2 linked regions of the Cricetulus griseus genome follow. The protein of the gene in region 2 binds, or shares a complex with, the protein of the main gene of each other region. Links are inferred from orthologs where the notes say so. Each region holds a gene or a part of one and is shown on either strand. Other genes may lie near its edges. The genes, in order: Sufu and Gli1.

Evidence for each region.
Region 1: the proteins of Gli1 (region 2) and Sufu are in contact, whole or in part, in a crystal structure (PDB 4KMD), measured with the Homo sapiens proteins. The link is inferred for Cricetulus griseus from reciprocal best matches to the Homo sapiens genes GLI1 and SUFU. Residues at the interface, in NP_005260.1 of Homo sapiens: Gly119, Ser120, Tyr121, Gly122, His123, Leu124, Ser125, Ile126, Gly127; in NP_057253.2 of Homo sapiens: Leu144, Tyr147, Asn153, Thr154, Phe155, Gly158, Asp159, His160, Val161, Ser162, Trp163, His164, Gln212, Asn265, Leu266, Ser267, Gly268, Val269, Ser270, Ala271, Glu376, Leu380, Lys398.

Annotation. Positions count from the first base shown.
Region 1 is NC_048596.1:15,197,088-15,207,083, forward strand, and holds the start of Sufu (suppressor of fused homolog), read right to left. Parts: upstream 4,968-9,996; 5' UTR 4,773-4,967; coding exon 4,591-4,772; intron 405-4,590; coding exon 270-404; intron 1-269. Other genes in the region: Actr1a (alpha-centractin), read left to right, coding at 6,386-6,433. UniProt on the Homo sapiens protein: Negative regulator in the hedgehog/smoothened signaling pathway. Down-regulates GLI1-mediated transactivation of target genes. Down-regulates GLI2-mediated transactivation of target genes. Part of a corepressor complex that acts on DNA-bound GLI1.
Region 2 is NW_023276806.1:130,393,278-130,402,824, forward strand, and holds the end of Gli1 (zinc finger protein GLI1), read left to right. Parts: 5' UTR 1-89; intron 90-96; exon of another isoform or gene 97-333; intron 334-421; exon of another isoform or gene 422-427; 5' UTR 428-453; coding exon 454-553; intron 554-656; coding exon of another isoform or gene 657-722; intron 723-778; coding exon 779-871; intron 872-1,764; coding exon 1,765-1,960; intron 1,961-2,185; coding exon 2,186-2,330; intron 2,331-2,681; coding exon 2,682-2,774; intron 2,775-2,862; coding exon 2,863-2,994; intron 2,995-3,315; coding exon 3,316-3,465; intron 3,466-4,643; coding exon 4,644-4,808; intron 4,809-5,235; coding exon 5,236-5,466; intron 5,467-6,085; coding exon 6,086-6,353; intron 6,354-6,985; coding exon 6,986-8,730; 3' UTR 8,731-8,894; downstream 8,895-9,547. Other genes in the region: Arhgap9 (rho GTPase-activating protein 9), read right to left, coding at 9,356-9,527. UniProt on the Homo sapiens protein: Acts as a transcriptional activator. Binds to the DNA consensus sequence 5'-GACCACCCA-3'. Regulates the transcription of specific genes during normal development.

The sequences.
Region 1 (9,996 bases), on a different chromosome or scaffold from region 2:
ATGAATGCAAGTTTGCTGCACATATCTACAACCCCTGCCACGCAGGAGGCTCAAGTGCGAGGATGGAGAATTTCAAGAGCAACCTAAGCCATCTACAAGCACAAGTTCAATACCAGCTAGGTCTACATAGCACAAGCAGAAAGTACAAACAGAGAGGTAACACTGGGAAGTGTCACCTAGTAGAACTAACATGTCCACAGAACATCACACATGTTCAATAAAGCCAAAGAAATGGACTTATCAAGGAAAGACAGGTGGCATACACTCACTCATGGACTCTGCTGTCACCATAGAGGTCGCTCAGGCCAAAGCTGATGTAGTGCCAGTGCTCGGGGATGTTGGCAGAAGGACTCCCCATATTCCTGTACATGCTAACATAATCCAATGGGTCTGGACCACCCAACCTGCAAAAGACAAAATATAAGGTGTCAATTTAAACCTGGATACCAGAAAATGTCAAGTAAGAGGCTCTGCTCTACAAACCCAAAAGCCCCATCCTAGAAGGACCTAAAGCAAAAGATAACTAAAGGGCAGCAAAAATCTCTTTAGCAACGAGCCACGGGTGAAGCAGCTGAGGCTATTGACGCCTCATGACCAAGAAGCCCCCTTCTCTGCCCTCTGAAGCACACTTGCTGGTTGCACGCCTTGCTCTCTCCTGTTTCAAGTTGCTGACTCCAGCTGGAGTCTTCTATGGGGCCTGACAACATGCCAGGCTTCAAGGTAAGAGGTGCATCAGCTAAGCAGTGGCTGCGGCTTCTGCTGAATGACTATACAGAGCATGCCCAATGGACGTCATTCCTGGCAGTACAGGTATCAGTCTACGCCTGTCTCTTAGACAGCTAGTTCCTGAAAGCCTGGATTGTGCCTCTATTATTGTTTCTTCTAAATACACACAAAGCCTCTGGTCTGCACAGATCAAAGCTCATTCACTGAGAGTGACAAAGTCCAAACATCAGCTAGCCCAGCTCTACGCGGAGCACTGAAGCAATGAACCAGGCTGACCCTGTGAGCACCTGCGTGCTAAGGAGCATCCGAGTCATTTGTCTCAAAGAAGAGCTGGGACAATTCACAATTTGATGCTCCCAAGGCTCACATTAAATTTCCCCATAAATCCAACAGAGAAGCAGTTGAAGAAGATATTCAGTCATTACCTCACTAGAGATTTAATTCAATAAAAGTTCTTTTAGTAATTAGTGCTTAAGCAAAACAAAACAAGCAACAAACAAAACTGTTTTCCTTAAGAATGGACAGGAAAGCATAGTAGACTTGAGAAGCACACTAAATGGAAACCATCAGCAGAACAAAGTGTGTACTGAGCCCATGAACTCCACATGTGAGCAACCACAGACTGTACTCCACAGACTGTAGAATCTTTGCCTGGCCCTGGACCATAGGCAGGAGTACACTTTGCATGTGGGCTACACTACTGAGGGACCGCTAACAACCAAATAAAAGACATGGTACAGGAGATCCCAGCAAGCGTGCCAGGACCATGCAATTCAAATCCTATTTTAAAACCAGTAAGTCTGGTTTCATCCTCTTTGCCAGGATGTTATTAGCCTTTGCAGAAATCCTTATTCTCTGGGGAAAAAGAAAAGAAAAGGCTAAGTTATTTATAGAACTCATAAGAAAGAAAGTCACTACAAATAATTTAGCTCTCACCTGAGTGAGTTAGGTAAAAGGCCAAGTCTCTATGCCTGCCTTTTGTTTGTTTTTTGTTTTGCAAGACAGGGTTTTCCTGTGTAGCCTGGCTGTCCTGGAACTATCTCTGTAGTTCAGGCTGACCTGGAACTCACAGAGATCCCCCTCTGCCTCTAAAGTGTTGGGATTAAAGGTGTGCATGCACCATCACCAAATCACTTGACTAAATCCATAACCAGTTGTATTTAGAAACATTTTGGGGAAGGACAGAAGAAAGAAAAGGACCCCATTATGACTGCAGAACCCTAAAAAATACAGGCTCCATATTCCCTCCAACTTCCTATTGCAAATCCCCAAGAGCCTTTGCTGCAGCCTCAGTCCATTGAGCAACAAGCAGTGACACTGTGCTCCACGTCCTGCTCCACCTGCCAGCACACTATAGCTCCTTCAGACAGTCTCCCAGGAGAGGGCATATCAAGAAGAGGCCTTAAGAGGAGTCAGGGAATGGCAAGAACCAAACAGCCTCATACCCAAGCTCAGAGAGTGCTGTTCTATCATCCACACTCAGATAAATGTTGAAAATCATGCTTGACACTTAGGGAAAGATGTGCTCTAATGGCCTAAAGCACCCCTAACCCTGAATTCCCTAGAGAACAGCTGCAGGACTAGAGTGGACCCAGAGCGCCAGGCTCTGCCTACCTGCTTTGATCCTGGACTTGTTTTCGAAAAGTCTCAAGTATTAGTTGGAGTACCCCTGCCAGCCAGGGACCACTAGCTAAAAAGCCACCCCTCAAATCCAAAAGAAGTCCTATAGCCAGACTCAAGCAGTTTAGTACCCTGCTATGAGAACTGAAGGGGCTGGTAAGACTCTAAAGGTAAGGTTATGAATAAACTTCGGTATCTCAATTCTGCAAATCCCCCTGAGTCTCAGAAAAAAAAAAACAAAACAGTCCCTAAGTTGTTTCCTCCTATATTCCCGCATCTAGGTGGCCTTTCTTATTTCACAAAATGCTGTACATGCCTTCCCAGTTGTTACCACATGCTGGTCTACCTCTGAGGACACAGCCTCACTACAAGCTTGTGGTAGAAAGAAGGAAGAAAGGAAGGAAGAAGGAAGGAAGGAAGGAAGGAAGGAAAGAAAAGAAAAGAAAAGAAAAGAAAAGAAAAGAAAAGAAAAGAATGCTGTAACTACTTTGGTCCTTTGTATAATGCTTCCATACCTTGACCACACAACTCTCATGACAGCCATGTAGGTAACAAAGCCAGTTGCCCTATTCTTTGAGGGACTTCCCCTCACACTTAAACAAGATCAGAGCAAACACACACCATGGAAAGGCCAGCCTCATTTCTCTCATAACATGGGACAAGTTCACAACATAGTTAAATATAAAGGTGCAATTAAAATGATTAAGTTAGCAAGAGCTACTACTGGTTGGATTTGTGCATGCCTTTAATCCCAGCACTCCAGAGACAGAGACAGGGGAATCTCTGTGCTTTCCAGGTCAGCCTGGTCTATAAAACGAGTCTGGGACAGCCAGAGTTACATAGTGAGACTCTGCCTCAAAAAACAAACAAACAAACAAGGTTACCAAGAGCTGTTTTCCACTCATGCTGTTTTCCGCCTGTGAACAGCATGCCTGCCACAGATGCACTCCTGGCTACCAGAACAGAGGCTGGTCCCCAGGCCCTCCAGGCTGTCAGTTTTCTTTGCATCATCCTCTCACCGACACAGGGAGTTAATCTCATCCCTGTACAGCCTAACTGCCTTCCCCAGAGGCCGCAAGGGGTGTTGCATAGGAAAAGGACAGCCTTAAAAGGGGTGTAAACCAGCAACAGCATCCACTTTCCCCCTTCAGGTCCACCTTTTGCCAGTACCCCAAGCAGTTGCCCCGGGAGTCTTCCAAGATCCACTGAAAGGGATCATCTAATACATTGAGTTCCTGCATGAATGCGGCCATCTCTTAGTCTATTTTTGGTCCAGAAAGACAATGAGAACTCGTCCCCATAACACCTGTTGCAAACAAGAACGGGAAATCAGAAAGGGTAGTTTCTTCCCGAAGAACAGCCCATTTGGAAACTAATCCTTTACTGAGCAACTTTAAACTTATCCTGGGCTTCCCAGGAGAAACTTCGGCTGAAATCCTGAAGACATGACAGGAGGCGCGTCTTCAGGCTGCCCCTGACCACGACTAAGGTCTCCTCCATGCAGTTCCCATGCAGTATCCCCTTCAATCCCGAGCCAAAGCACGGCTCACTGAGCCTGTTCTTCACTAAAGTCCTAAAGCAAAAGCAGCTGCAACGCCAGAAGCAAGCTCTGCAGAGAGAGAACTGTGCAGAGTAAGCAAAAAGTTTATCTGGAAGAGTGGCTCTGTCAAACTTCAAGAGCAACAGCTTCGTACTGAATGACAGAAGCTCCAGCGCTCGGGAAGGTCCCGAAAGAAGGTCTCCTCCTCAACTCTTCACTCATCAAAGGCACAATGCCCTCATCTTCCTCCCTCCTAGCCCACAGGGGCTTCCTGGTCCCCAGACCGCCCTGGACTACGCGGTCTCGCGCCCTCCAAAGCACTCTCAAATGCTCTCCAGGCCCCGCCTCACCTCCCCCATCCCACTCCAGCCGCCCCCTGGCTTCCCCAAGCCCACCAATGACCCACCCCAGGCGCCCCTCCTTTCTCCACGTTTACAGTTCGCTCTCACACGTCCCCCCTCCGCCCCTGCTCACACCCCCGGCTCCCAGTCCCCCCAGTCCCGGTTAACCCCTCACTACTCAGAGGGTCCGTTAACCCTTTGTCCCCACTCCCAACTTCTGTCTTAACTCCGTCCCCAGCATCAGGAAGCTCCCGGCTCCCAAGTCCTTTAACCGTTTTCTTCCTCCCGCTGCTGCAAACTACTTCGTGCCCGGCGCTCGAAGCCGTCCCGGCGGCCCCGGTCCCCCCGAGGCCCAGGGCATACCAGTACTTGACGATAGCGGTGACCTGGAGCGGGTTCGGCTGGTCGGGGTAAAGGCGGCGGCACTCTCCGTAGATGGCGTGCAGTCCCGGGGGAAAGAGTGAGGCGAAGGCCGGAGAGGCACTAGGGCCAGGGGCCGGGGGCGCGGCGGGGCCGGGGGCGACGCTAGGCCGCAGCTCCGCCATCGGGGCGCGTAGGGCGCGCGGGGAACCCGGGAGGGTAGAAGAGGGGAGGCGCCCCGATGGGCCAGCGGACCCACAGTGGACGAGACTCCCCGAGGCGATGGGGGCTACGGCGAGGTCTAACTCCGCGCCTGCGCACGGTGCTCCGTCCGCCCAAGCCCTAGCCTTCGCAGAGTCGGCCAGAGGGTGCTGCGGGACCGCGGGGAGCTCCAGGGGGCGGGGCGTCGGTGTGCCCTTGGCTGCCGCCCATTGGTTAGTGCCGTTGCCAGTCACAAATGGAGAGGCGTGACTTGACAATAGGCCCCGCCTCCCTGCCTCTGTGTTGGGAGCGTCCCAAGGATCTCGGCCTCCCCCTAGTGTTAGGAGGAACCCAGTTTGAAACAGACGCGGAACCTGGAGGTGCCAGGAGTGGTGAAAGCGCTAAGAAGCTCCTAGCTAGTACTGTTTTCCTGATACGCGATTTTAAGATAAGCCTGACAACTGACCAACTCATTCGTTTGTGTGTCTTTATTAATATGTTACAACTCTTTAATATATCTCGGTGCCGATGACTCAAAGAAACTTGAAGAGGCAGGGAAATAAATACTCCAGGGGAAAGCATTTACGCATACTTTCTCTTTGCCTGAATATTCTCACCTATCAAGTTGTTTTTGTTTGTTGTTGTTTTTTTTTTTTTTTTGGTTTTTCGAGACAGGGTTTTTCTGTGGCTTTGGAGGCTGTCCTGGAACTAGCTCTTGTAGACCAGGCTGGTCTCGAACTCACAGAGATCCGCCTGCCTCTGCCCCCCCCCCCCAGGGCTGGGGTTAAAGGCATGTGCCACCAATGTCCGGCTCCATCAAGGTTTTAAGCTCAAGAAAAGATACTAAAGCAGTCTCTAAACCTGTAGATAATATTTTAGACCAGTATTCTATTGCATCCAACTACAGGTATTTTTTTGATAACCTTTGTTTTGCTTCATGGGTTTTTTGTTTTGTTTTTTCGAGACAAGGTTTTTCTGTGTAGTCCCGGTTGTCCTGGAAACTCTGCAGACCAAACTGGCCTCGAACTCAGAGATCCGCCTGCCTCTGCCTCCAGGGTGCGCCACTAGCTACGGGCACTGCTGCGCTTCTTATACGTGCTGGGAAAGCATTCTGCCCTTGAGCGACATTTCAGTGCCAGAAATGTTTATTAATGGTTTACATTGCCCAAGTGCAGGAATGGCTGAGTGGTGAGATGAATAGGTAAAACTCAACAGCCCCTGAACTACTGTCAAACCTAACCTCAACTAAGTACAAGTACTCCAGACTCTGGAATTTAAAGGAAAAGCTTCGAAGGGACTACAAATCCAGGCATGCACCATAATGAACACCTGTGGCGCTTGACTCTACCGAGACTACAAACCCCATCGCACCCTTCATCGGAAACACAATCCAGTTTTCTAAACCCGGCGGGACTCGGGCTCTGCCTGGAGCGCCAGCCCTGGGGCAAAGGATGCTGGGGATTGTAGTTCTTCGGAGACGAGGTCGGGCCGCTCCCTGGACGGCCAGTACCGGCGACTAGACTGCGCATGCGCGTCAGTGGCGTTTGCAGCGGACCGGGCTGGCAGTTCCTTCCTCGGAAGGAAAGATTCCTCTGCCATGGAGTCCTACGATGTGATCGCCAACCAGCCTGTCGTGATCGACAACGTGAGTAGCGCCTTTCCTATCTCTAGAGAGACTGCGCTGCCCTCCAGAAAGGGTCGCTTCCGAGGTTTCAGCCTAGGCCGCCTGCTCTTTGTCACTGGCCCGGCCTGTCAGGCGGGTCCAGCCGCCGCCGCCCCCGTCCTCCCCACAGCCACAGTTTGCAGGCAGGGCGGCCAGCAGCACTCGTGTGATGGAGAGCTTGGGCGTAAACAAAGGGAAGAGCTGTAGCCCGAGAAGGGTCCTTGGACCCTCGGCTCAAGGGGCCTTAACCGTTCTGAGACCCTAGCACCCGCCTTCTCCCTGGCTTCTCGTCACCCAATTGGCTGCTCTCGCTGTCTATCTCAGCCTGTTGGTCCCGCCTTTGGGCCTGGCCGGATTAGACCAGCAGTGTGCGGTAATTGGCTGGCGAGCCTGTCGCTTCCTTTCTGGGAGGGGTGGGGCGGTGCGCTGGGGCGGCGGGGATTGGCTTGGCGCACTCCGGGAGCGGAAGGCGACGGCTGGTCCAGCGGTGAAGGTGGGGTGTGAGCCGGCTGGGCCGCATAGGAAACTGAATCAGGGTGGGGCCGCATAATGCGGTGCCAGAAATGCCTATGGGATTCCAGTTATTTTTGTGATTAGGAATTCTCGTTAGCAGCGGTAAACAAAGAAGGAGAGTGACAAAGCAGGCCAGGTGCCCTCCTCTCGGCCGTGCCCGGCTGAGAGGCCGGGAGGTGACCAGACGCGTGAGCGTCTGTCAGGTACGCTAGCGTTTCCAGGGCGCTCTCGCCAGCCTGTCAGTTGAAGCCAACCTCACAGAAAGTGAACGGTTAAGAAGGAAGTTTGCGTCTCCTTTCACAGAACGAACACCGAAGATGGAAGTGACCAAGGTCATATTCCGCAGCGGTGCCCTGTATAAGTTCATCGCCTTATCTAAATGTCATCCCTTTGCTAACCACCCCTCCACGAACGCATCGATAATGATGAATAGAAAGAGCCTAAGGATTGCCTTTATGAGGCGGGGCAGTATGTCTAAGGTTTCTATGCTTCACCCAAAGTTTTGGTCCTGTGCTCTTTCAGCATCCCTCCTTTGAGAAACCGCTGTGGAGTAACCCCTCTGTCCTAGGCCGACCTTATCGGAGTAACTGTGATGTTCAGCCCTTCTCACCTGGGCGTGCCGCTAGGTTCTTTTATTTGCATAGTAGGTAGATGGAGATTGCTTTCCCAGTTTATGCAGGAACGTGAGACTCGGGAAGGTTTTTCAGACGGCCCCGTTAGGAGTTGAAGATCCAAGACTAACAATGAAATCATCTAGTTCCAAGTTCTTCAATCTTTCAAGGAAGGCTGTCTTATTTGTTGTAAACTGCCTTTTTAAAAGGTGAGGCTGAGCCTGGCAGTGGTGGCGCACACCTTTGATCCCCCAGCACTCTGGAGGCAGAGGCAGGTGGAACTGTTTTAGTTCAAGGTCAGCTTGGTCTACAGAGCTAGTTCCAGGACAGCCAGGACTGTTATATAGAGAAACCTTGTTTTGTTTTGGAAAACAAAAAACAAAGTGAAGCTGAGACTCGGCGGGGAGGGGGGGGGTATGTCACCCGGCTGGTAGCATTGTCTGACATTTGTGAAATCCTGGGCTCCATCCCCAGACAGCATAGACCTGGTATAGAAGTCAGATGTGGGGCTGGAGAGATGGCTCAGAGGTTAAGAGTACTCGCTGCTCTTACAGAGGTCAATTCCAGCAACCACATGGTGGCTCACAGCCTTCTGTAATGCAACCTGGTACCCTCTTCTGGCCTGGGCAGAACATTATACATAATAAATATAAATAAATAAATATTTAAAAAAAGAAGTCAGATGTGGTCCATGCCTGTAATCCCAGCACTTGGAGACAGGAAAATCAGAAATTCAAGGTCATTGTTTGAAGCCAGCCTCTAAGACCCTGTTTGTTTGTTTGGGATAGTAGGTTAAGCAAAGTTAAATGAGACACCTTGTTTTGAAGTATTAGTTTTTGTCTTCACTTAGACTAGACAGACTTTTTAAATCATGTGGGGAGAGTGAGATCCTTCATTTTTCATCCCACAATGTCTCTCTCCCCTCCCCTCCCTCCATCTCTATCTTGTGTGTGTGGTGTGTGGTGTGTGTGTGTGTCTGTCTGTGTGTGTCCAGATGTGTCTCTTGTGCATGACCACACACGTGCATGTGAGAGAGCTGGTGCCTTTGGAGGCCAGAAGAGGGCTTAAATTTTGTAGAACTAGCGGCCGCAGGCAGTTATGAACTATCCAACATGAATGGGGTGCAGGGAAGGATGCAAACTCTGGATCTATCCCAGTGTGGCAGCTGGTGCTCTTTAACTACTGGGCCATCTCTCCAGCTCACCACTACTCCTCTTCCACCCGACTCTACAAGGCATTGAGAGCCCGGTACCACTATGCACACAATAAAGCCTTTTCATTGGCTAGGTGAGTGGATAGGTGAATAACTAATGATCTCTATCATGGTAACAGAAAATGGCCAGGGGGAAGGGAGACCCAATCAAGGTGAGGGGTTTCAGATATGTTTGTAATTCTGCAAATGATAGAGTGATACTTCTTTCTTTAGTTTGTTTGAGACGGGGTCTCAAGACACTTCTTGTTCTCAGTGTTGATATCCAGAGAGCATGACTACTTATGTCTTTAGCTACCTGTGTTTTGGAGCTACCTCTTTCTTAGTCATTAAAAAATGCAGAGAAGTGCCAAGTCTCAGACTGGAGAAATGACTCAGCAGTTACGAGCACTTGGTCCTCTTGTAGAGGGCCAGAGCTCCGTTCCTAGTACCCATGTAGGCAGCTGACAACCTGAAACTAGAACGCCAGAGGGTCAGATGCTCTCTTTGGTCTGAGGGTACTTGCACTTCACCTGCACAGACACACATACAAGACATGTGCATATACACATAATTATTTTTTAAAAGAATTGTCAGCTTTTGTTTTGGCATTAGCAGTGCAAGAAGCATCGGTTCACCCCACCATCCCCTTTTCCTTGGATCCCTCAGGGGAGTTGAAGTTACAGGTGGTTGCGAATCACTCAGTATGGATTCTGGGAACCAGACTCCAGTCCTTTGGGAGAACATCGATTGCTCTTAACTGATGAGCTATCTCTTTGGCCCCCTTACTTCTTTTTTGTTTTTTGAGATCTAAATGAGTCTGAAAGTTTGTGTGCTACCTGCATGCAGTGCCCTTGGAAGCCAGAAGAGGGCATCTGATGACTGGAACTGGAATTCCAGACAGTTGTAAGCTGCCTAGTTGGTGCTTGGGAGTCAAACCTGTGTCCTGTGGAAGAGCAGCAAGTGCTCTTAGCTGATGAGCCATCCCTCGGCCTTTGTTCCTTTTCTTACAAAGATCCTCACTCTGTAGCTCTGGCTACCCAGGGGATTCATTATATAGACAAAGCCAGCTTCAAACTTAGGGGCCTCCTGTCTACCTGCCTCCAGAGAGCTGAGATTACAGGTGTGTACCAGCTGGTTTTTGGATTTTCCTGGAAAATCAGAAGGATAATTTCACGTGCAGTCTTTAATTTGTAACCATTGCCAGTAAATCTAACAGTATGCTGTGGTTT
Region 2 (9,547 bases):
TGCGTTCTTGGGCTGGGGCTCAGAGCGAGCAAGCAGCCCTGGGCATGATGAAGTCAGTGTTCCTCCATCACTCTTCAAAGCTAGCCATGGTCAGAACGAGAAGTAATGGAGGGATCAAGGCATTAAAACCACTTGGAATTTATGTTGGATCAATTAGTCCATAACTTCCCCTTGTGCATACACAGACCACGAGGCCCTTAACCTGTTCCCCCAAAAGATTCCCAAGACGGACAGGCTGCTTCTGCCTGCCCTTGGGGCTGTTTCTTCCTATTTTAACGCCGCTGAATGATATTATTTTCAACTTGATTTCCATGACCAGTCTCTGAGAGAGAGGTTCGGGGCACGAGGGACATGCTGGCCTGAGATTGCCATATATCTAGTTTCTCACCATGGTTATAACTTTGCAAATCTGCATTCCTTTCTGCAGTGCCCCTCATCCGCCTCTGAGACACCATGTTCAACTCAATGACTCCACCACAAGCCAATAGCTATGGTGAGCCGTGCTGCCTCCGACCCCTCCCCAGCCAAGGGGTCCCCAGCCTGGGGACAGAAGGTGAGTGTGTTTACCAGTCCCTGGGCCTTGAGGGCTTGGCGGATCTCTCACCTAGGATCCCTCTCAGCCTCATTCCTCCCCCACAATAGTTTCCTATCTACAGGAGGATTTGAGACCCCATGCCATGCATGCTTGGAGCTGGGGGTCATATCTCACGTGGGGTCTCAAGGTAAGCCCTGTGTGTCCCCATCCAAATGCCCCATTCCAGCTGTCTCTCTTTTCTAGGATTTTCTGGTTTGCCCTTTTGCCACCAAGCCAACTTTATATCAGGGTCCCAGGGTTATGGGTCTGCCAGAGAGACCAACGGCTGTTCTGAGGGTGAGGACTCAGGCGATCTCTGTCCCCTCTCTGCCCCTCTGGGACTTGTTCGGAAGGAGGAAGTGGGAAGGCAAGGACGAAGATCAATGGAAGAAGTGTCCAGAGATGACAGGGATCAGAGAGCCATCAAGAAGTCCTAGGTTGAGCAAGGCAAAAAAAATAAATAAATAAAAATTAAAAAATTAATTAATAATAAAATAAATAATTCTTTATTAATAATAAAATAAAAATTAAAAAATTAATTAATAATAAAATAAAAAAATTCTTGGTGGCACACGCCTTTAATCCCAGCACTCGGGAGGCAGAGGCAGGCGGATCTCTGTGAGTTCAAGGCCAGTCAGAGTGCCAGCATAGGCTCCAAAGCTACACAGGGAAACCCTGTCTCGAAAAACCAATAAATAAATAAATAAATAAATAAATAAATTTTTGAGTCAGGCCCCACATACTGAGTGCATGTACCTTTACTGCATCTTTCTTTTCTTTCTGAAAATTTTTAAAATTTATTATGTATATAGTGTTTTGCCTGCGTGTCTGCCTGCACACCAAAAGAGGGCACCAGATCTCATTACAGACAGTTGTGAGCCACCACGTGGTTGCTGGGAATTGAACTCAGGACCTCTGGAAGAGCAGCCAGTGTTCTTAACCTCTGAGCCATCTCTCCAGGCCCCTAAATTTTATTTTTTTAAATAATGTATGTGTTTGTGTCTGTGTGGGTTTGCACATGTGATTGCAAAGGTGCGGGGCATCCTTGGAGCTGGAGTTATAGGTGGTTGTGCTGGTGTGGGTGCTGGGAACCAAACTCAAGTCCTTTGGAAGAGCAGCTAGTGCTCTTAACCACTGAGCTGCCTCTCCAGCCCCCTTTGCTGTTTCTTGACTCCTATCTCCTGCCCTAGGGCCACTCTTTCCTCCTCCCCGGAGTTCAGTCAAATTGACAAAGAAGCGGGCACTGTCCATCTCACCTCTGTCCGATGCCAGCCTGGATCTACAGACTGTCATCCGTACCTCACCCAGCTCTCTTGTGGCTTTCATCAACTCACGCTGCACATCTCCAGGAGGCTCCTATGGCCATCTCTCCATTGGCACCATGAGGTGCTGGCACCTCAAACTAAGAGACCCCTAAAATATGTACTGAAACCCATTAGAAGACTCGGACCCTTCAAACCTCCAGCCCAACTTGAACCCCTAACCCTCCCAAAGGGGAACCCTTTTCAGAATCTCCCTGGGCTTACTCAACCAAGCCTTCCAGAAACCCACAAAATAGAGCAAGGATTCCGATGACTGATAGTCTTAAATAACAGCCTCCTCTTCATCTAGCCCATCTCTAGGATTCCCACCCCAGATGAGTCACCAAAAAGGGACTTCGCCTTCCTATGGAGTCCAGCCCTGTGTTCCACAAGACTCTACTCGGGGTGCAATGATGCTGCATCCTCAGTCCCGGAGACCACGTCAGACCTGCCAGGTGGGACTCTCCACATTGCCATCTTACTTGGCTTCCCCGACTCAGGATAGGTGGGTAGTAGACTTAGCAGCAGCGGGGCAGGTGAAGGAAGCCAGTACACATAAAAGCCTTTGGTACTGGGAAGGTAGAGGTATAGATGGCAGCCCCACCCCTTCCCTCAGCAGGGTTGACTCAGACTTTCTCAGATGAGAGCACACCTGTCCATCCCATTCGCCAGTGCGGGCTGTGGAGGAAGTCCTTCCACACTCACAGGAGTCCTGCTATTGGGTGGGGGCCCATAGGGCAGAAAAACCTGGCACGCTTTCCCTTCTGACTACTCCATCCTCACTACCCTCACCTCTTTCCCTGGAGAAGCTGAAGTCAGAGCTGGACATGCTGGTAGGCAAATGCCCAGAGGAGCCGTTGGAAGGGGACATGTCTAGCCCCAACTCCACAGGCACACAGGTAAGGGAAAGGGCAGGGTGCTCTCTGTGGGACCTGAGCAAAACAAAACTTGCCACCCATGACCCTAAGAGTGTGTCCTTTGCCCTAGGATCCCCTGCTTGGGATGCTTGATGGGCGGGAGGACCTGGAGGAGAAACCTGAGCCTGAATCTGTGTATGAGACTGACTGCCGCTGGGATGGCTGCAGCCAGGAGTTTGACTCCCAGGAGCAGCTGGTGCATGTGAGCCCCAGGGGATGACAGATGGTTGGTGGGAGCCTGTAGGAGACTGAGTGGGTCATTATGGTCTGCTCAAGGGCAGAGCAGGTGGTTCAAGGATCCTGGGGTCAGAGATGGCATGCTCAATCCTGCAACCCAAAGCTTGGAGTAGCTTTTCTATAGAAGGCTAAAAGACCCCAAGTGTGGGATATGCTGCCTTCCTGACCTTTAACTCCCCCAGGAGGCAGTGCTGAGGAGGATGAATGGGGGGCTGAACGAAAGGGATATGTCCCGGGTTTGGGTGGCATCGGGAACCCCAGAAAGCCTCGTCTTCTCCCTCCTCAGCATATCAACAGTGAACATATCCATGGGGAGCGGAAGGAGTTCGTGTGCCATTGGGGGGGCTGCTCCAGGGAGCTGAGACCCTTCAAAGCCCAGTACATGCTGGTGGTGCACATGCGTAGACACACGGGCGAGAAGCCGCACAAGTGCACGGTGAGGCACCCATCCCTCCCCATATTGGTGCCAAATCAAGGTAGGGTCCAAGGTAGACATTTGCCTTCAAAGTCCCTTCCTTCATAAGCAGATGTTTAAACATCTTGCTGAAGACTGTATTGATAGAAAGATGAGCACATTGATATCTATTAAAATGTTTTCAGTTACATTTTATGGGGTGGTGGAGTCTTGCATTCCAGGGTGTCTGTGTGGAGGTCAGAGGGCAATTTGCAGGACTTGGTTCTCTTCTTCCACCATGTGGGTCCTGGGGAATCAAACTCAGGTTGGCAGGCTTGGTGGCACACTCCTCTACTCACTGAGCCATCTTGCTGGCCCTAAAATATGTTCTTGGTATGGTGGTATATGCCTGTAACCCTAGCACTTGGAAAGCTGAGGCAAGAGGATCAAGCGTTTGAGGCCAGGTCTCAAAAGAAAAACAAAACAAACCAGGCCTAATGGCACATACCCTTAATCCTAGCACTTAGGCAGCAAAGGCAGGCAGATCTCTGTGAGTTCAAGGCCAGTATGGTCTACATGATGAGTTCCAGGCTAGTCAGGACTACACAATGACACTATCATCTCATAGATGAATAAATAGCAAACAAAAACAAAACAAAATTAAGTTTTGGATCAAACAAACTTTTTCCCTTTGATTTTAAAAGAAATGAAAATATGTGCTGGGCATGGTGGCACATGCCTTTAATCTCAGCCCTTGGGAGGCAGAGGAAAGCAGATCCCTGTGAGATGGAGGTCAGCCTGGTCTACTCTGGAGTGAGTTCCAGGATAGCCAGGGCTACACAGAGAAACCTTGTCTCAAAAAAACAAAATAATAACATAAATGAAAACATACTTATAAATCCCTTATGTGGGCCCCTTAGTACTCTTGCTACTACCTTGCCTGGTGGATAGGCCCTACGTCATTGCTCTAGGACACTCATGATTTCAATTTAGGACAGTCTGAACTCTATACAGGGGGACCTGCTCCAAGATGTTCCCTACTTAACAGCCATCCCCTACCCTGAGCGTTTCCACCTTTCTCTGCCCTTGTGCCCAACCAACTCCTGGGATTCTCTGGGGTTCCTGTGTCTCCCCATTTTTAGTTATATTCTCTGGTGTAAACCCTTAAATCTCTGTGTCCTGTCTGAGAAATGTTACTTGACTCCTTTCCTGTCCCCCAGTTTGAAGGTTGTCGGAAGTCATATTCCCGCCTTGAAAACCTTAAGACGCACCTTCGGTCACACACCGGTGAAAAGCCTTACATGTGTGAGCATGAAGGCTGCAGCAAGGCCTTCAGCAATGCCAGTGACCGCGCCAAGCACCAGAATCGGACGCACTCCAATGAGGTGAATGCCCAAACTATACTCTTCCCATTTGAGACGCTACCTTCTATGTGATTCCCCTGGTAAAGAGCTCCTTAACTCCAGTGGCAAGTTCCCCTACAATGTAATTTACACCAGGAACACTTGAGAGAAGTGCTGCTCTTTGGTCTAGCCAGCCAAAGGGTCAGTGTACAGTAGACCCCTGACCCTTCAACTTCTGAATTTATGTGATCTCACAGCCTTAGGGGGGAGGGTGTCACCTCTTTTTTCTTTAGCCCACACCATCTATTTTCTTAACTCTTCTGTAAGCCTCTCCTGATTTACTCTACCGGGGGCTCACAATACTCTTTCTTGCTCGAAGGCTGTGTGTCCTCCCTCACTTACCCCATTCTATTTGTGTTCTGCCCTTCGTCCCTTGACTTTCTGGCTCGGCAATGCTACTACTCGACAGAAGCCGTATGTATGCAAGCTGCCTGGCTGCACCAAGCGCTACACGGATCCCAGCTCACTCCGCAAACATGTCAAGACGGTGCATGGTCCTGATGCCCACGTGACCAAGAGGCATCGAGGGGACGGCCCTTTGCCACGGGCACCGTCCCTTTCCACGGTGGAGCCCAAGCGGGAAAGGGAAGGAGGGCCCATCAGGGAAGAGAGCAGATTGACTGTGCCCGAGGGTGCCATGGTGAGCCAGCCTAGGAAGTCTTGCCTCCATATCCCATCATGCCTTCCTTCCCCTCTTTCCAGCCTGTCCTAGAAGCATCCCCTTCTATATGCAGTCTTCTGCGGCCAGCCTGCCTGTCTCTAGTTTTAGTGTTGCTCCATGGCACAGACACCAGATCTAAGAATGCTGTTACAATTGTCAATTCTTTAATTGGTCGGACATATTCACTTTTTTTGGGGGGGGTGCTTCTGGGAATATGAACACATGCAAGCAAATTCTCCACCACTAAGCAAGTCCTCAGCCCCCCTATGGACTCGATCTTAAGTAGCACTTAACTATGTAGTTCCAAGCCTTAGGTGCACATATTTCATGTTTTCTTCAAAAGAGCAAACAGGCAAAGATAAGTTGTCAGGGTCAGGGTCATAGAACTAAGGGGGAATGGAGCCCTGGGTCTCTTTACTGCAGCAGGGGCCCATCCCATTTTCTTCCAGCTCACCCTAACCTCCCGCCTGCTCAGTCCTCTCTACCCTTGCATGACTGCCCTCAGCTCTTGCAAACCACTGGGACACAGGCTTCCGCCACTCCCCAAGGGGAAGTGGTAGGGGGTGGGTACCACCCTCTGCTCTCAACCTTCTCACAGAAACCACAGCAGAGCCCCGGAGCACAGTCCTCCTGCAGCAGTGACCACTCCCCAGCAGGCAGTGCAGCCAATACCGACAGCGGTGTGGAGATGACTGGCAACGCAGGGGGCAGCACTGAGGACCTGTCCAGCTTGGATGAAGGACCTTGTGTTGCTGGCACTGGACTTTCCACACTTCACCGCCTGGAGAACCTCAGGCTGGATCAGCTGCATCAGCTCCGGCCATTAGGGTCCCGGGGTCTCAAACTGCCCAGTTTAACCCATGCTGGTGAGACCTGGGTGTGGGAGGTGTTGCTGAGCTGAGCTGTGGACCTGTCCTGAAGCTGAAGTGATAAGGTCACCCTTTGAGTTGCCACATGGCATCTTTTTATCATCTGAAAAATATTCCCCCTTCCTTGAAGATACTTTTCCTTCCATTGACCAGAGAATTATAATATATATCTAGGCATGGTGGTTGTGCACCTGTAGTTCCACCACTATGGAGACCGGGGCAGCAAGAGTGTTCAAGGCCGCCGGGTGTTGGTGGTGCACGCCTTTAATCCCAGCCCTCGGGAGGCAGGCGGATCTCTGTGTTCGAGGCCAGGCTGGTCTCCAGAGCAAGTGACAGTATAGGCTCCAAAGCTACACAGAGAAACCCTGTCTTGAAAAACCAAAAAAAAAAAAAAAAAAAAAAAAAAAAGTGTTCAATGCATCTGTGGTACATTATCTCTATAACTGCAGCCGTGTACAAGATAATAACTGCCCGGAATCCTTGCTGAAAGGAGACAAACAGCATGGTTAGGGCGAAGAAGCCTAGGACTCTTTTACCTTGGGGCTCCAGGTCAAGGCTAACCTGTGGGATAGGCAGGGTGGGAACCACAGGGGTTCCCTACCACCTGCCTTTTCTCTTGTCATTTGCAGGCACACCGGTGTCTCGCCGGCTGGGTCCCCCGGGCTCCCTCGACCACCGCAGCAGCAGTTCTAGCAGCATCAGTTCCGCTTACACGGTCAGCCGCCGCTCCTCCCTGGCCTCCCCTTTCCCACCTGGATCCCCACCAGAGAATGGGGTGTCCTCCCTACCTGGCCTCACGCCTGCCCAGCACTACATGCTCCGTGCCAGATACGCTTCAGCCAGGGGGAGTGGTACCCCACCCACTGCGGCACACAGCCTGGATCGGATGGGGCATCTTCCTGTACCTTCTTGGAGAAGCCGAGCTGAGTACCCAGGATACAACCCCAATGCAGGGGTCACCCGGAGGGCCAGTGACCCAGCCGGGGCTGCTGACCACCCAGCTCCAGCCAGAGTCCAGCGGTTTAAGAGCTTGGGATGTGTCCACACGCCCCCTAGCGCGGCAACGGGAAGGAACTTCGACCCCCACCTTCCTACCTCTGTCTATTCACCACAGCCTCCCAGTATCACTGAGAATGTTGCTATGGACACTAGAGGGCTTCAGGAGGAGCCAGAGGTTGGGGCGTCTGTGATGGGCAATGGTCTGAACCAGTACATGGGTTTTCCATCTGCTGACTCGCTGGGATACGGGGGACCTGAGGGAGCGGCGGCTGAGCCCTATGAGGCTAGGGGTCCCGGGTCCCTGGCTCTTGGGCCTGGTCCACTGACCAGCTATGGCCCTAGCCACTGTCCCCAGCAGGTCTCCTATCCTGATCCTACCCCAGAAACATGGAGTGAGTTTCCTTCCCATTCTGGGATGTATCCTGGCACTAAGGCTCCAACTGGAGCCTATATCCAGTGTCCTCGACTTGAACATTATGGACAAGTGCAGGTAAAACCAGAACAAGGGTGCCTGGTGGGGTCTAACTCCACCGGACTGGCACCCTGCCTCAATGCCCACCCCACAGAGGGGTCCCCAGGCCCGCAACCTTCATTTTCCCATTACTCCCAACCCCCTCCTCCCCAGTATCCCCAGTCAGGTCCCTACCCTCGGCCTCCCCATGATTATCTCCCGTCAGAACACAGGCCTGGCCTTGATTTTGACTCCCCTTCTCATTCTGAAGGACAGCTCAAAGCTCAGCTTGTGTGTAATTACGTTCAGTCGCAGCAGGAGTTGCTGTGGGAGGGCAAGGGCCGGGGAGGGCTCCCCAACCAGGAACTTCCATATCAGAGCTCCAAGTTTCTGGGGGGTTCCCAAGCTAATCAGAGCCCTGTCAAGGGTCCAGCAGCTGCCTACGGATCTGGCTTTGCACCTGCTCTGGCCAGTCACAAGCCCGGCTCCTTTCCGGCCCCTTCGCCATGCCATGAGACTTTTACAGTGGGTATAAACAGGCCTTCCCATAGGCCAGCAGCAGTGCCACCCAGGCTTCTGCCCCCATTGCCTTCTTGCTATGGACCTCTCAAGGTAGGGGGCGCCAACCCCAGCTGTGGCCATCCTGAAGTGGGCAGATTGGGAGCAGGCCCTGCCTTGTACCCTCCCCCTGAAGGGCAGGTGTCCAACCCTCTGGATTCTCTTGACCTGGACAGCACTCAGCTGGACTTCGTGGCTATTCTGGATGAGGCCCAGGGGTTGAGTCCTCCTCCTTCCCACGAGCAAGGGGACAGCTCTAAAAATACCCCACCTCCCTCTGGGACCCCCAACATGGCAGTGGGTAACATGAGTGTCTTACTGGGGTCTCTGCCGGGAGAGACACAATTCCTCAACTCTAGTACCTAAAAGGATAAGGAGTCCCAACCGGATCATGTTTCCTAGACGGCCACATGAGGTGCCCGGGAATGGGAGGATTGGGCTGGGGAACTCTATTTAGTCTATGTATGTTCCAGGAGAAAACTTTAATAATAATGACAGTTTCCTGACAATAAAGGAATGCTGAGAACAAGTACCTTATGGGTCATCTTGGGGAGAGTGGACATGGGGCTCACGTGCCTTCCTCTCCAGAAAACTCCCACGGCTCAGACAGGACTCGGGAAGTGGGAGAGTGTCCTTTGGGAGAGGGCTTACAAGATGTCTTCAAAGCAGAAGACCTGCCATCCCTCTCCGAAGACCAGATGACAGATGGCAGGAGATGTCCTTTTCCTCATCCTTGCCTGCCCGGGTCAGGTGAAGAGGCTATGGAAGTCTCCGAAGGAAGACCAGCTGACAGATCGAGGGAGATGTCCTGTCCCTCACCCATGCCTGGGTCAGGTGAAGAGGTTTCCAAGTCTCTGAAGACTGGCTGACAGATAGAGGGGGGTGTCCTTTCCCTTGCTCTCACCCGCCCTGGTCAGGGGAAGAGGCTGTCGAAGTCTCTGAAGACTGTCTAACAGATGGGAGGAGATGTCCTCGCCCTCGCCCACCCCGGTCAGGGGAAGAGGCTGTCAAAGTTGTTAAGCATCAGCTGGATCAGCTGCCCGGGGTAGAACACGTGGGCTGTCATGTCAGAGGTCTCCTGCTCTGGGCGGAACAGCGTTGGTCCAAACACAATTCCCAGGTTGTGGGCGGTCATTCGGTTCTCATCTGAGTGTGCGATCACCCTGAGGACAAAGCCAAGGAA